Linked DNA regions of Callithrix jacchus. The protein of the gene in region 2 interacts with the protein of the main gene of each other region in a pairwise test. Links are inferred from orthologs where the notes say so. Each region holds a gene or a part of one and is shown on either strand. Other genes may lie near its edges.

The links.
Region 1: the proteins of PRMT1 (region 2) and HNRNPR interact in binary tests that used the Homo sapiens proteins (3 or more experiments, as listed by UniProt). The link is inferred for Callithrix jacchus from reciprocal best matches to the Homo sapiens genes PRMT1 and HNRNPR.
Region 3: the proteins of PRMT1 (region 2) and SPEG interact in binary tests that used the Homo sapiens proteins (3 or more experiments, as listed by UniProt). The two-hybrid records come from large-scale screens. The link is inferred for Callithrix jacchus from reciprocal best matches to the Homo sapiens genes PRMT1 and SPEG.
Region 4: the proteins of PRMT1 (region 2) and CDC37 interact in binary tests that used the Homo sapiens proteins (3 or more experiments, as listed by UniProt). The link is inferred for Callithrix jacchus from reciprocal best matches to the Homo sapiens genes PRMT1 and CDC37.

Annotation. Positions count from the first base shown.
Region 1 is NC_133508.1:60,092,910-60,096,409, reverse strand, and holds part of HNRNPR (heterogeneous nuclear ribonucleoprotein R), read left to right. Parts: intron 1-291; 5' UTR 292-303; coding exon 304-460; intron 461-2,682; coding exon 2,683-2,801; intron 2,802-3,416; coding exon 3,417-3,500. UniProt on the Homo sapiens protein: Component of ribonucleosomes, which are complexes of at least 20 other different heterogeneous nuclear ribonucleoproteins (hnRNP). hnRNP play an important role in processing of precursor mRNA in the nucleus.
Region 2 is NC_133523.1:43,444,234-43,448,274, forward strand, and holds the start of PRMT1 (protein arginine N-methyltransferase 1), read left to right. Parts: upstream 1-1,241; 5' UTR 1,242-1,285; coding exon 1,286-1,321; intron 1,322-1,420; exon of another isoform or gene 1,421-1,602; intron 1,603-3,560; coding exon 3,561-3,614; intron 3,615-3,825; exon of another isoform or gene 3,826-3,922; coding exon of another isoform or gene 3,923-3,940; intron 3,941-4,041. UniProt on the Homo sapiens protein: Arginine methyltransferase that methylates (mono and asymmetric dimethylation) the guanidino nitrogens of arginyl residues present in proteins such as ESR1, histone H2, H3 and H4, FMR1, ILF3, HNRNPA1, HNRNPD, NFATC2IP, SUPT5H, TAF15, EWS, HABP4, SERBP1, RBM15, FOXO1, CHTOP, MAP3K5/ASK1, MICU1 and NPRL2.
Region 3 is NC_133507.1:141,187,900-141,191,399, forward strand, and holds part of SPEG (striated muscle preferentially expressed protein kinase), read left to right. Parts: intron 1-60; coding exon 61-150; intron 151-232; coding exon 233-569; intron 570-955; exon of another isoform or gene 956-1,093; intron 1,094-2,308; exon of another isoform or gene 2,309-2,336; intron 2,337-3,347; coding exon 3,348-3,500.
Region 4 is NC_133523.1:9,585,356-9,588,855, reverse strand, and holds part of CDC37 (hsp90 co-chaperone Cdc37), read left to right. Parts: intron 1-1,432; coding exon 1,433-1,708; intron 1,709-2,082; coding exon 2,083-2,191; intron 2,192-2,283; coding exon 2,284-2,399; intron 2,400-2,479; coding exon 2,480-2,602; intron 2,603-3,500. UniProt on the Homo sapiens protein: Co-chaperone that binds to numerous kinases and promotes their interaction with the Hsp90 complex, resulting in stabilization and promotion of their activity. Inhibits HSP90AA1 ATPase activity.

The DNA of each region.
Region 1 (3,500 bases), on a different chromosome or scaffold from region 2:
CAGAACAGCTGCTTTTGTTAATCAGCAATTCTACCTTCAGTAAATTAAAGTCTTTATTTTACCTGGTGTACATGAAGTTCCTTAAAGATCTAATGCTTCCATGTACATTTTCTTTGGTTTTACAGGATTATTATTGCCAATTTAGGTCAGCTACATCACAGGAGGAATAAATTATTATTTTGGTAGAGGTTATTAGCAGCATGTATACAAATTAGTTTAGATAAATCATGCATTGTCCTACAAACTAGTTATTTCTGGCTTAATGTAATATAGCTCCTGAATTTTTTCCAGCAGCATAATAAAATGGCTAATCAGGTGAATGGTAATGCGGTACAGTTAAAAGAAGAGGAAGAACCAATGGATACTTCCAGTGTAACTCACACAGAACACTACAAGACACTGATAGAGGCAGGCCTCCCACAGAAGGTGGCAGAAAGACTTGATGAAATATTTCAGACAGGTATAATATGCATTTCTTGTTTCTGACTGGTTATGAAAGTGAGGGCAAACCACTTTGAATTTTATAGATTTTTAAGGTTAAATAATACTGTTTCTGATCTGTAGAGCTTAATGTTTGTTACTTTCCCTTCATTGAAGGCATATTGGGTTTGACTTTGATACTCTTATTTCATTATTTTGAAGCCTTCTTAGTGTTGAATATACAGTCTTAGTTGTTTCAGAACAGCACATCAATTTGTCTTAGATTTACCACTCATTAAAATGTATGTTTCTGCATACCGAATTTTACATTTTTTTCTTAATCGAAATCAGTCATCATTTTGCTTTTACTTTTCTACTTTTAGCTTCTTAAAGTGATTGTTAAATCAGAGTAGGTCTGATTAGGTGGCATAATAAGAGGATAGACTGTATCGTCTGAAACCATAATAAATGTTAGACTCCTTGAGAGTTTGTGGCTTGTCTAGTTTCTAATAGAAATCCACATCTCTCCGTAATTTGGAAGTGTTTGGTTTGTAAGAGCTGCTTTTTTTTTAAATCTAGAAGTGCCATGGTTAAGTGCTTAAGCAAATTTGAACATCTTAATATAGTTGGTTGTAAGTGGTTTGAAGTTTTAAAGAGGGAGAGAAATATTTACCCTTAGGGAGTGTTGTTCATAAATAAATGTGTCCTCCTCCTTTGGGGCCATAGATGGAAACTTTCTTCCTCTGTGTTTTGTGTGCCTATTCAGATTCTGAGAGAGAATTGAATTGTCTCACTCACAAATGTGTCTTAAGTACAGTAGTAATAAATAGTTGTTTATTTTTTTGTCCTTAAAAAATTTTTAAATCTGGAAAGCTTAGCATAATTTTAGACATTAAAATGACTTATAAAAATGACTCCTGGGTGATGGTCTCATTTGAAAATCAGTCCTCAGGAACTTTCTGTGATATTCTGCCATAGAGAATTGGCAGTGATCTGCTTAGAGATGCTCTCTTGTAGAGTGTTTTGTTATCGATAAGAGGCTGACGGTTTGGCTTAGGCTTGGTTTGACAAAGTGGATTGGTGGGTGTCCTGAGTTGTGGCTTTGGGTGGTGGTATGGAATATTCAAGGAAGGCAACTCCAGTTATTTACACATGCTCATTTTGAGCTTTTGAAACAAATCATGGCAACTTTTTTTCAAAGTAACTTTGGAGGTGGCATTACATTTATTTAAAATTTACTGTATAGAATAAAGTTCTTTTTGGCTTTACCAAAATGGAGTCACTTTTCATGTTCATATGAACTTGGGGGTTTTAATCTACAAAATATTTCCATTTTACATTGGATCAATTCTGAAATATATCCCATATATATAAATATGACATAAACTTAATAGACTTAAGAAATTATATTTTAAAATTAGTAGATGTTCTATGTGCAGTTGGATATACTACATATGTGAAATGCAGTGTATATGTTTTCTGTTGAGTTTACTTGTGAGTCCATAAAGTCTTTATTGCCATTTGAAAAAGATTGTCATTCTTGACAGTCAGTGTTGTGAATGCCACAGCATCTTTTAAATCTCAGCTTGTCACTTCAGAAGAACGAAGAATGCCTTCAAATGTGACTTTCAGAATTGACAAATCAAGCTGCACTTGCATTTGTAGAAGTTTAAAATTGTGCCTTTCCACATTCTGACTGCAGCAAAGTGGATGCTCAGATAAACAAATGCATTTCAGTTTATCTTTGGTGTTAAGAAGGGAAAGCCTTTTGATACTTTCTGGAGAGTGGAAAGAATTAGTAAAATTTGTTTTCAGATTTTCCCCCACCTCTTATGTGGTTAGCATCAACTGTAACCATTTGTAATTTGAAGGTTTATCCTTGAAAAGTACAGTGTATTCTTATTACTCTAATATAAACCAAAATTTGTTAATGCATAATCTGTAATACAATATGTACGTCAGATTCAACTTCCAAGACTTATACCTTTGGGGGAGTGGGAAATGGATGTTAGGATTTGACGGAAGAGCTTTTGTGGATATGCAGATTGAAATTCATGTTTTTGGTTGTTGACATTTTATCTTTATTTGCATATTTGTACTGGACCGTTCTATGTAGTATTTGGATAGCTTCATATATGCATATAGTTAAATGAAAGTATAGTTTTTTAGTGATCATATTGAATATAACACTTCTTGATTAAACAATAATTTAGACTGCCCCTTTGTTGCAATAACGTTACCCCTTTTCAATTTAATTTTTAGGATTGGTAGCTTATGTCGATCTTGATGAACGAGCAATTGATGCTCTCAGGGAATTTAATGAAGAAGGAGCTCTGTCTGTACTACAGCAGTTCAAGGAAAGTGACTTATCACATGTTCAGGTAAGGTCATTACTCAGAAATGTCTTTGAATAATTAATGAGCTGAAATTATTTTACTAGTTTTTTTCCTGTGGGGAAGTGGTTATTTTTTGTGACTACCTCTTCTTCTTTTAAAAATTAAAGGAAAAAAAGATCTGCTTGTGGCAGAATTTCAGAAGCACAAGTATAAAGTGAAAGTTTCCTCCCACCCCTTTGTGTAGTAAGTTGTTTTAAAAACTTAAAGTCAAGTTTTGATGGTTGTTACTATAGGTTTTTACATGTTACTCAGCTTTTTAACTTTTGGGGGTTATCTGATCCTGTTTTATTATCTTGGAGGAAAATGTAGGTGGGAGGAATAGTTTCAGACATCTGGCAAAGATAGTCTAGATGCAATCACTTATCAACAGATGGAAGACTGTGTTTTCCCAGGGAGAAGATAAGCTCCCTGAGGTCTGTACTGCCTTACTGCTATCTGCTTCAGCCTCTGGAATGTAGTAACCACTGGGCAGATGTTTGTTTAATGAATCAGTAAATACTTTGTTAAAATCCTGGTCTTTTGAGATTTAAATTTAATTATATAACTGACCCTTCAAAGATTTTTGGTGATTCTTTTTATTGAATTACTTGTCTGTTCTAGAACAAAAGTGCATTTTTATGTGGAGTTATGAAGACCTACAGGCAGAGAGAGAAACAGGGAAGCAAGGTGCAAGAGTCCACAAAG
Region 2 (4,041 bases):
CAATGAAACCCGGTCTCTACTGAAAATACAAAAATTAGGTGGGTGTGGTGGCACGCGCCTGTAGTCCCAGCTACTCGGGAGGCTAAGGCAGGAGAATCGTTTCAACCAACCTGGGAGGCGGAGACAGCAGTGAGCCGAGATCGCACCACTGCATTCCAGCCTGAGATACAGAGCAAGACTCCATCACAAAAAAACGAAAAACAGGACCGGGCGCGGTGGCTCAAGCCTGTAATCCCAGCACTTTGGGAGGCCGAGGCGGGTGGATCACGAGGTCAAGAGATCGAGACCATCCTGGTCAACATGGTGAAACCCCGTCTCTACTAAAAATATAAAAAATTAGCTGGGCATGGTGGTGCGTGCCTGTAATCCCAGCTACTCGGGAGGCTGAAGCAGAATTGCCTGAACCCAGGAGGCGGAGGTTGCAGTGAGCCGAGATCGCGCCATTGCACTCCAGCCTGGGTAACAAGAGCGAAACTCTGTCTCAAAAAAAAAAAAAGAAAAGAAAAACAAAAACAAAAAACAAACTTGGAATGATTATGTCAAAGGCTAGGATATAAGGATTTAATGTGTTGAGGCGGACACCTATTCCTCACTTGCTTAGGGACCCCAGACAGGCCCTTCCTCTCACTGATTCAGTTTTTTTCCCCCCAGAATGGGCACAAGCCCCCTTTTTCCTCCAGACCCTCCCCGGCCTGGGAAAATCCACCGAGTGTTCGAGGAGTGGGAGTTCCTTTGAGCCAATCGGTGGTGCCTGAAACCCCGCCTCCTTCACTACCCTTGGGCCAATCGTCGTGTTCTCCTTGAAGCCGGCCGCTTGGCGAGGGTGGGCCAAGGGCTGCGTGACGTCATGTTAGGATAAATCAATGGGAGCGATGAGGAGGCGGGTCGTTTTGGTGATGGACAGGCATTTCGAGACGCCCCTTTAGCGCGGGGCTCGCCGGGAAGCTTTGAGGCGGTGCTGGGGTAAAGGGGCGGGCATTTATGTAGACTTTGCCCAATCACCAGTCGCGCTTTTTGCAATAGACGGGCAGTTTTCCCCATCCCAGGTCGACTTGAGGGGGCGGGACTCTGGGCGCCAGAGTTGGCAAACCCCTGACCTATGATCGACGTCTTCTCTACCCAATAACTAGACGGTATTCTCAGACGGGCTGCCTCCTTTACCAATGAAATCTTCCGGCGGGGTCGCGGTAGGCGGGCCCTAGACCTTCTGGTATAAGACGGTCCCGGGGGAGTGAGGAGAAAGGGGGGGTCTTGGCGGCCGGAGGAGGATTAGGTGCGGGTGAAGATGGCGGCAGCCGAGGCCGCGAACTGCATCATGGAGGTGAGCGCTTGAAGCGCCGCCTTGAGAGGGGGGCGGCTTTGGGTCGGTGTTTCACAGCTCTGTGGTGGGGAAAGGGCTCTAAGTCGGCGACAGGAGGTTAGAGGTCGCCCGCCGCACACGGGGTCACCGCACGCTCCGCATCCGGGGATATCGTTTTAAGTTGCGGTTCCCTAGCTTTCAAGGGCCTTCGGCATCCGGCCTAGCGGAGGGTCTCATCCCCCCTCCCACGTGGAGGGGGGCTGGGGGCGCTTCCGGCCAGGCCCCCACGTGGCCTCGGCGCGGTGGGTGGGGAGGGGGTGTGCCGAGTCCGGTGGCCTGGCGGGCTCCACGTGCGGGACAAAGGCCCCGCCCCCGGCCGGGGAGGGGCGCCCGGGGGGGCGGGGAGGGGGCCCGACCCTCCGTCTGAGGCCACCAGCTCTCCTCCCCGGAGACGCGGGCACACGCCTTGGGGTGGGATTGATCTGGGGCCCACCAAGATGTAGGGAGTCTCTGGGGAAGGGCAGTGCTTCTCAGCCCTTTACAACCTCCTTCCGAGCTCCGGGGACATCTGTTGGGACAGCGGCCCCGGTTTTGTGCGTTCTGGGTTAGGCACTGGAGGAAGACAAAAGAATGGGGTCCCCCCGACCCCGTTTCCCATCTCAGAATTCTCCCCCTAGCCCAGAGCTTTAGGAGTTGGGGGATGGGGCATGCCCCTGTGACCTCCCTCTGGGTGGTTGTGGGGCATCTAGGTGGAGATTTTCCCATTAATAGGTGCCGTGCACCCCCTTGTGGCCATTTCTGGGTGTGTGGGAGGAACATCTTTTTCATGGGGCGTGTCCCGAAGCCCACCTACCGTCGGATTTCTTCCGGGCGGGGGAGGGAGGAGGGTATATCCGCTGGGAATGAGTGGTGGTGGGAAATACGTAGGCTGAGAGCTTTATCCTCTCCTGGAGCCCTTTATCTCCCCCGGGCCTTTGTGAGGGCGGGAGATGACCCCCCCCCCAGGGGGTCCTGAACCCCGGGGTCCTGAGGCTGGCTGCCTGAAAGGGTTTCGAGTTAGGTTGGGTTCTCTTTCAGCCATGTGGGGGAGGTTTCCGTCTTGCGTTTCAAGCCCTCTTGGGCTGGAATTGTCTTGAGGTAGTTTTCAGCGTGATTGAGAAATGGGCCCCCGCGGGAAAACCCCCCAGCACTTCTTATAGGCATCCGCGCTGGCTTGGGAGAGCTGGGGGGAGGGTGCTTGCAGCCTAGTAGGTCATGGCCTGTGATGTGGCCCTTCTTGGAGACTTGGAAAGTGGTCACATCTGGAAGAGATGTAATCTGATGGGACCTCTGTTCTTCCACCCCTTACCTATGGCACTGGCTGGAGGGGCAGGTCAGCTCTCAGGATGCAGTTCCCAGGGGTCACTGCTATGACTTCCCACCCCCTTGGCGGTCTCCTGCACCAGGGCTCTAAGGGTGGAGGAAATATCTTCCCCAGGGGTGGCCTCAGGCTTGGCCGCACCTAGGGGTCTTCAGGGCCTAGGATGGGTGTCTGAATGGAGGCGATGGGCTGACTCCCCAAGCCACTTTCTGGAGTCCTCTCATTCTTAGAGAGTCCAGGGGCTGCCCATCATCCCTGGGACTCCATCTTCCAGGGCAGAGGGTTGTAAGGGAGGGGGTTGGTTCCCGCTGGTTTTGTTTGGGGGCTCCTGAGCCCAAGGCAGGAGCTGGGGACTGGGGTACTAGCTCTGGGGGAGTGCCTGTGGGCCAAACCTCTTTTCTGGAATCCTCTCAGACAAGAGACTGGTTTGCAGAGGTGGCAGATGCCCTGTGGGCATAGCCTGCCAGCCCCCCTCCCTCCTGCTATTCATGGCACCCTAGGATAGGGGTGTGTGTGTCAGGAAGTGTCACCTAATCTGGGGGAGATTATGTGATGAGGGGGAGCGACAGCTGGCGGTGGCCAGTGCCAATTTCCCTGGCCTGGATGGGGGAGGTGTGTGGTCAGCTGCCTGGCCAGAGAGGAGCAACGTGGGGGCGGGCCACCATCTCTCCAGCCACAGCTGGGGTCGGAGACCCCCTTTCTTTTCTCTCCCCTCACTTTTCCCATCCCTTCTTAAGCACCCCACCTCATTACTTGCCCCCTTTGCCACCACTCCCCACAAAGAAGAAGAATTGCTGGAAACCCACCCACCCCACCTCCTGCCAGAGCCCAGGTCCCGCCGCCCAGCCCCCTGCAGCCACTCCTGGTAGCTAATCCTTTTTCCCTGTTACTCTCTCCTAGAATTTTGTAGCCACCTTGGCTAATGGGATGAGCCTCCAGCCGCCTCTTGAAGAAGTAAATATCCTTTTGTGAGACCCCTCCCCACCCTGACCTCCACATCAGTATATCTTGCCACACACTGGCCCTTTCTCGAGGTCTAATCATACCCCTCTTGCTTCAAACCAGTTGACCCCAGGCCCCCAGACACTTAGTAGCAACCCCTCCAGGTTCACGGCCCTGCTGGCCTCCCCCAGTATCAAGGCTACTTCCTTAACTCCACCTCCAGCCCCCCTTTGCCCTTCCCTGTGTCTGCCCCCGTTTTCCTTCCCCTCCCCTCCCCAGCTGTGGGCTGAGCTAGAGACGGGGGCAGAGAGACTGGAGATATGGTAGGCGTGGCTGAGGTATTGGGGTGCTCCCCTGGATGGTGCTCTGGGGGGGGTCGTGGAAGTGGAAAATGGGGCTGTTAGGTTTTGGGGTTCCTGGGGGGCTGTAGGGTTGTCAT
Region 3 (3,500 bases), on a different chromosome or scaffold from region 2:
AGGGAAGAGTTGGAGGCAGAGGGAGGAGGGCCCTGCCCACACAGACCCCTTCTTCTCCAGACTCAGAGACAGCTGAGGATGACATCAGCGATGTGCAGGGGACCCAGCGCCTGGAGCTTCGGGATGACGGGGCCTTCAGCACCCCCACGGGTGAGCTCCTGCGGTGTACAAAGAGCAGGCAGGCGGGTTTCCCACAAGGGGTGCCTCGGTCTCACGGTGCTCCTTTCTCTAGGGGGCTCTGACACCCTGGTGGGCACCTCCCTGGACACACCCCCGACCTCCGTGACAGGGACCTCAGAGGAGCAAGTGAGCTGGTGGGGCAGCGGGCAGACGGTCCTGGAGCAGGAAGCGGGCAGTGGGGGTGGCACCCGCCGCCTCCCGGGCAGCCCAAGGCAAGCACAGGCAACCGGGGCCGGGCCACGGCACCTGGGGGTGGAGCCGCTGGTGCGGGCATCTCGAGCTAATCTGGTGGGCGCAAGCTGGGGGTCAGAGGATAGCCTTTCCGTGGCCAGTGACCTGTACGGCAGCGCATTCAGCCTGTACAGAGGACGGGCGCTCTCGATCCACGTGTAAGTAATGGCCTTACCTGGGCCTGCACTGCCCCATCTCACCACGCTGTCCTGCGCTGCCCTCACTGCTCCGTCAGCCTCCACCCATCACCCTTCCCCATCCATCTCTCTGTGCACTTCTTCACCCCCTGCTGCCACTCCATCTTCCCACACTGCTCCCTCCTCCTCCTGAGCCATCACCGCCCACATCGCCCTGCTCCCACCTGTCCTGGCTCACTGTGCCATCTCCACGGTCTCCTGGACCTTTCTGTCCCTTCCTTGTCTCCTCCAAGATCTTCAGTTTCTCAGGGGCCCTCTTCTGCCTCACCCATTCAGGCTCCAGTTGTCCCCAGGATCCCTCCCCCCACCCGGGGGCCCCCTCCGTGCCTGCTGTCTCAGCAGCTGCTGCCTTTTCATCTCTGCACATTCCTGTTCCCATGTGGGCCTTTTTCTGGGAGGAACAGAACCTTTCCACACGGCAGCTCCCGGGAGAGCAGGAGAGAGCAGGGGAGCAAGCAAGCAAGCAGGAGAGAGAAGAGTGTGAGGTGGCCAGGGGCAGATGGGGCAAGGGGCCTGTGAAAGCAGGAGGCCGTGGGCTGGGGGTGGCAGGGGGCTGGGAAAGGAAGGAGCTGGCAATGGGGCCAGGTTGGAGGGAGGGGGGCAGTGAGGGTGGCAGGGGTCTTGCAACGATTTCTCTCATAAAAACTCCTAAGTTCCCGACGGTGGGGTTCAAGGTTGTCCTGGGAGGGGGTGTGAGAAGTGGACATGGAGTGAGGCACTGGAGCCATTTTTGGATATCTGGGGCTGGCAGATACAGGAGGAAGTGCTAGAGTGGAAGAGGGGAGTGGCTGAGGATAGAGATACTGGGGACATTTGGGGAGCTGAGGGGGCCCTGGTTTGTGATGGGTATGGGTGTGGGGGGCAGGTACCTTCATGGAGGAGAAAGAAGTGGCCTGGTGGGGGAGGCTGTTTTGAGGGTGGGTAGAGTGGCTAGTGGTGGGCAGGGGAGAGGGCCAGGGCCAGGGAGAGTCTCCCTTGGCTTATCTTGTTGGCCTTACCCGGCACTCCTGTGCCCTGGACTCGCCTTTCCCTCCCTGCCTTTCTTTACCAGGCCCCAGCCAGAGCCTGGAGTTGCTATGGCAACTTCGGAGGAACCCATTTCCTTAGTGATGTCTGTGGTACAGAGCCTGGCCTGGAGCTCAGAGCTGCCGGCAAGAGGCCTCCTCTGCTGTCCTCAATTTCTCTCCAGGCCTCAGCTCCCAGAGGCCCTTCCCTGGGGACTCTGCCGCCCTTCCCCTAGAGTAGACACTGCCTCCCTAGAGGTGGCCGGCTGGGGTTTCTGCCCCACAGGGCACTCTGCATTGCCACCACCCCTTTTAGCCCCAGTCAGAGGTGGGTCTGTCGTATGGGTGGCTGACCCAAGTAGGCTAAAACATCCTTAACTCAGACCCCGAGAACTGCTCGTGGCTGGTACCCCACTACTTGTCTTCCCTTCTGTGGCCCTGGGAACCCAGACACTTTGGAGGGAATAGGGCTCAGAATTCCGACTGCCTGGGTTTCAACCCTAGCACCAATAATTTCCCAGCTGTGTCACCTTGGTAAGGCACTTAACCTTTTTTATGCCTCAGTTTCTTCATCTGTAAATGGGGGTGATCACAGTTCCTACCTCACAGGGTTGTTGTGGGCATTAAGACTCAATGCATTTTAAGAACTTGGTACAAGCCTGGCACACAGGAAATACTGAATGAGCCATTTTACAGGTTTTTATTAAGCTCTCCGATGTGTCAGGTATGAAAATACCTCTAATTCCTTTCTTTCTTTTTCTTTTCTTTTTTTTTTTTTCTAATCTTTATGTGTGATGTGCCCCCTTACCCCCTGGAGGGTCCAGATGGGGAAAACAGACCCAGCTCTTGGGCATCAAAGCTCTGTTAAGCGAACGGGATACTCTGGGGTGACCGGCTCCTTCCCTCCTCCTCTTCTCCCACACTCCCTGTTCAGGCCCACTTAGTAGCTATTTCTGAGCTGAGTTATTTCAGAGCATACCCCTGTGGGGGGCCTTCTGTGCTTCTCAGGGGGATTTCCAAGCACTCAAGATAGCTTTCCCAGGGGAAGTGCAAGGCAAAGGCCTATCCTGGGGGCAGACTGAGCAGGGGGACTAGGATCCTGGGCATCCCGTCGCCACCTGCTGTGTCCCATCAGTGCTGGTGGTGGCGGCAGGGATGGGCTCAGGTCTACACAGCAGCCAGGAAATCCTAGAGATAGTCCACTGCTCCCCAAAGGCTTGTGCCAGGTCCAGGAGGCTGTTACTTGGCTTCTAGGGGCCACCAGGAGGGGGTGTGCCCTGCTGAGGATGGGCAGGGGTGTGGGGACCAGCTGGGGGCTGGAATGAGTGGGAGGCTGCATTCCTGAGGGCGCCCCTCCCCACCCCACCCTCTTGTCTTTCCTCCCCAATTCATCCTTTGGGTCCTAAGCTTCATTCTTTTCTCTCCCTCATGCTTAGTTCTGTTTCCGCTGTTTCTTGGCTTCCAGGACTGGGGGAAGGAGGCTGGCCCGAGTCTTGGGGCTGAGTCCATAACAAGACCCAGCCACTGGCCCAGTCTTGTGGTTCCAGAGCAGCCAGCCTCTCCCCCAGCACCTGCTCTGGCTGTGCGCTCCTTGTGGGGGCGGGGGGAAGAGGATCTGGCCCATGTCACCCCAAAGCCTGCCCAGCATGCCCACCACCCAATCCCTGTCACAAGCTAAGAGTCTAGGAGGGGAGGCCTACTGAATCCTCGACCCCTCTCCGTCTTGGTTCTGCAGCAGCGTCCCTCAGAGCGGGTTGCGCAGGGAGGAGCCCGACCTTCAGCCTCAGCTGGCCAGCGAAGCCCCGCGCCGTCCGGCCCAGCCACTTCCCTCCAAATCCGCGCTGCTTCCCCCACCGTCCCCTCGGGTGGGGAAGCGGTCCCCACCGGG
Region 4 (3,500 bases), about 34 Mb from region 2:
TGGGGGGAGGAGTAGGGAAGGGGACCAAGTGTGGGCGAGGGTGGCTCCAGGTCAGAGGGGAAGGCTGGCAGCTGGAGACAGTGTTTAGGCCTCCACTGGGCATCTCATTACTTATTCACTCAACAAGCATTTCCTGGCCAGGCACAGTGGCTCACGCCTATAATTTCAGCACTTTGGGAGGCTGAGGCAGGTGGATGGCTTGAGCACAGGAGTTTGAGACCAGCCTGGGCCACATGGCAAAACGCCATCTCTACAAAAAAAAAAAAAATTAGCCAGGCAGGATGGTGTGCACCTGTAGTCCCACCTGCTTGGGAGGTTGAGGTAGGAGGATTGCTTGAGCCTAGGAGCTCGAGGCTGCAGTGAGCCATGGTCGCATCCTGCACTCTAGTCTGCATGACGAGGAGACGTTGTTCAGACAAAACCGAACAAACAGAAACAAAAAAAACAAGCATCTGTTGAGTCCCTGCTTTGCACCAGGCCAAGTTCCTGGCTCTGGGGACAAAGTGGTGAACACATTCCCACATGTACAGAGCAGGGCTTGGAGGGAGGCAGTATGCAGAACATGATAAACAATTATCATATGATGTCAGTGGTGGCTGGTGCTGAGGAGGCAGGGAATGCCAGGCAGGGGTGGGGGGAGGTTGCCATCATCAGGAAGGTGGTTGGGGAAGGGGTCCTCGCTAAGGCAACATGGAGCTCAGATGGCTCGGGTGCCGTGGAGTCAGCTGTGGCGGGATCTGAGGGAAAAGCACTCCAGGTAGTAGGAACAGCCAGTGGGAAGGCCTTAAGGTTAGAGAAAGAAGTCGGCTCCGCAGAATGCAGTGGCTCCTGCCTGTAGTCCCAGCACTTTGGGAGGCCAAGTTAGAAGGATTGCTTGAATCCAGGACTTCAAGACCAGGCCGGGCAACATGGTGAAACCCCGTCTTTACTGAAAATATGAAAATTAGCTGTGCATGGTGGTGCATGCCTGTAGTCCCAGCTACTCAGGAGGCTGAGGTGGGAGGATCGCCTGAGCCCAGGGAGGTCAAGGCTGCAGTGAGTCATCTTCCGGCCACTGCACTCCAACCTGGACAACAGAGCGAGACCCTATCTTTAATAAAAGGGCTCAAGAAAAGATGAGAAAAGTGAGGGACCAGTGTGGATGGAAGGAGGAGTGACAGGGCAGATTGTGCAGGCCCACATAGGCTGTAGTGACGACTTGGGCTCTGTTCTGAGTGAAATGGGAGCCGCCAGGGTTCTCAGCAGAGGATGGAGGAACCTGACCCTCTTGGGTGTGCACTGGCACCTGTTGGGGCAAGGAAGTTGGGAGCCCAGGGCACTGGAGGTGGACGCAGATTTTTTCCCGGGGCTATCTCAGGAGCAGGGGTTGAGTATGGGGCCGGGGGTAAGGGACAGGCCGCCCACCAGAGTGACAGGCCGTTCCTGCCGGCAGGCCCGGGTGGAGCGCATGGAGCAGTTCCAGAAGGAGAAGGAGGAACTGGACAGGGGCTGCCGCGAGTGCAAGCGCAAGGTGGCCGAGTGTCAGAGGAAGTTGAAGGAGCTGGAGGTGGCCGAGGGCGGCAAGGCAGAGCTGGAGCGGCTGCAGGCTGAAGCGCAGCAGCTGCGCAAGGAGGAGCGAAGTTGGGAGCAGAAACTGGAGGAGATGCGCAAGAAGGAGAAGAGCATGCCCTGGAACGTGGACACGCTCAGCAAAGATGGCTTCAGCAAGGTGTGCAGGGCGGGCGGGCAGTGCGCATGCGCAGCCAGTGAGTGTGCAGCCAGGACGCATGCGCACCCAATGCCAAGTCAGGGGAGGACCCCGGTGGTGAAATTGAAGAGTGTGGTGTGGGGGTTGGGGGATGGACGGGGGCCATGTAGGGAGGGGGGACAGGCTTGGGGAGCCGGGCGGATGAAACACCCCACCGGTCCCCTCCTCTGATCTGCCCCAAGGCCCATGCCCACGCTCCCGCCACCTTGATGCTCATGGCTTCGTCACCACCTCCGCCGTGGATGGGATGGGCGCTGCGGCCACGGCCCGTCCGGCCGCGCTCGAGGCGCTCCGCAGCCTTGCCCCAGCCCACTCCCCTTCTCACCCTACCACAGAGCATGGTCAATACCAAGCCTGAGAAAGCAGAGGAGGACTCAGAGGAGGTGAGGGAGCAGAAACACAAGACCTTCGTGGAAAAGTATGAGAAACAGATCAAGCACTTTGGTGAGTGGGGCGTGTGGGTTATGGGGGAGCCAGGTCAGGGCAGGCCCTTTGTCTCCAGGGCCCTCCAGCACCTTGCCAGCATCTTCCCACAGGCATGCTCCGCCGCTGGGATGACAGTCAAAAGTACCTGTCGGACAATGTCCACCTGGTGTGCGAGGAGACGGCCAATTACCTGGTCATCTGGTGCATTGACCTAGAGGTGGAGGAGGTGAGTGGAGCTTTCCCAGGGCTGTGAAAAGGCGCTGCCACACGCCGTCACTTGGTGACACTGCCTGTTGTCCCTGGTAGAAATGTGCACTCATGGAGCAGGTGGCCCACCAGACAATCGTCATGCAGTTTATACTGGAGCTGGCCAAGAGCCTGAAGGTGGACCCCCGGGCCTGCTTCCGGCAGTTCTTCACTAAGATTAAGGTAGGGGCTGTGAGCTGCCAGGTGGCCAGAGGCCCCCTCCTCAGGGGACCAGCCTACAGTGCTCTGGGCAAGGCCAACTCCTGTCCACAGGGACTCAAACCCCTCCAATTGCAGCATCCTAGTTAGGAGACGGCGGGGGCAGGGAGGGTAGAGAGGTGGGCTGATCCTGCCAGACTTTAAAAGTGGACATCAGGCCAGGCTTGGTGACTGAGTACTGTAGTCTCAGCTATTTGGGAGCCTGAGACAGAGGACCACTTGAGCTCAGGAGCTTGTCAGCTATGGTGTGCCACTGCATTCCAGCCTGGGTGACAGAGTAAAACCACATTAAAAAAAAAAGTGGACACTGGGCACAGTGGCTTATGCCTGTCATCCCAGTACTTTGGGAGGCCAAAGCGAGCAGATCACCTGAGCCTGGGAGGTCGCGACCAGCCTGACCAACATGGAGAAACCACGTCTCTACTAAAAATACAAAATTAGCTGGGCATGGTGGTGCATGTCTATAATCCCAGGTACTCAGGAGGCTGAGGCAGGAGAATTGCTTGAACCTGGGAGGCAGAGGTTGCAGTGAGCTGAGATTGCGCCATTGCACTCCAGCCTGGACAACAAGAGCAAAGCTCCGTCTCAAAAAAATAAAAAGTGGGGGCAGTAGGATGTGCTGAAGGTCCCCATGTGGATTTGGGGGTAATATGGGTGTCTCTAGGGTTTTGAGGGTTTTTTTTTGAGACAGAATCTTGCTCTGTCACCCAGGCTGGAATGCAGTTACTCGATCTGAGCTCAGTGCAACCTCTGCCTCCCCGGTTCAAGTGATTCTCATGCCTCCACCTTCCAAGTAGCTGGGATTACAGGCACCTGCCAGCCTCTAGAGTTTTAACCTGTGCATCTGCAGGAACAGGGCTAC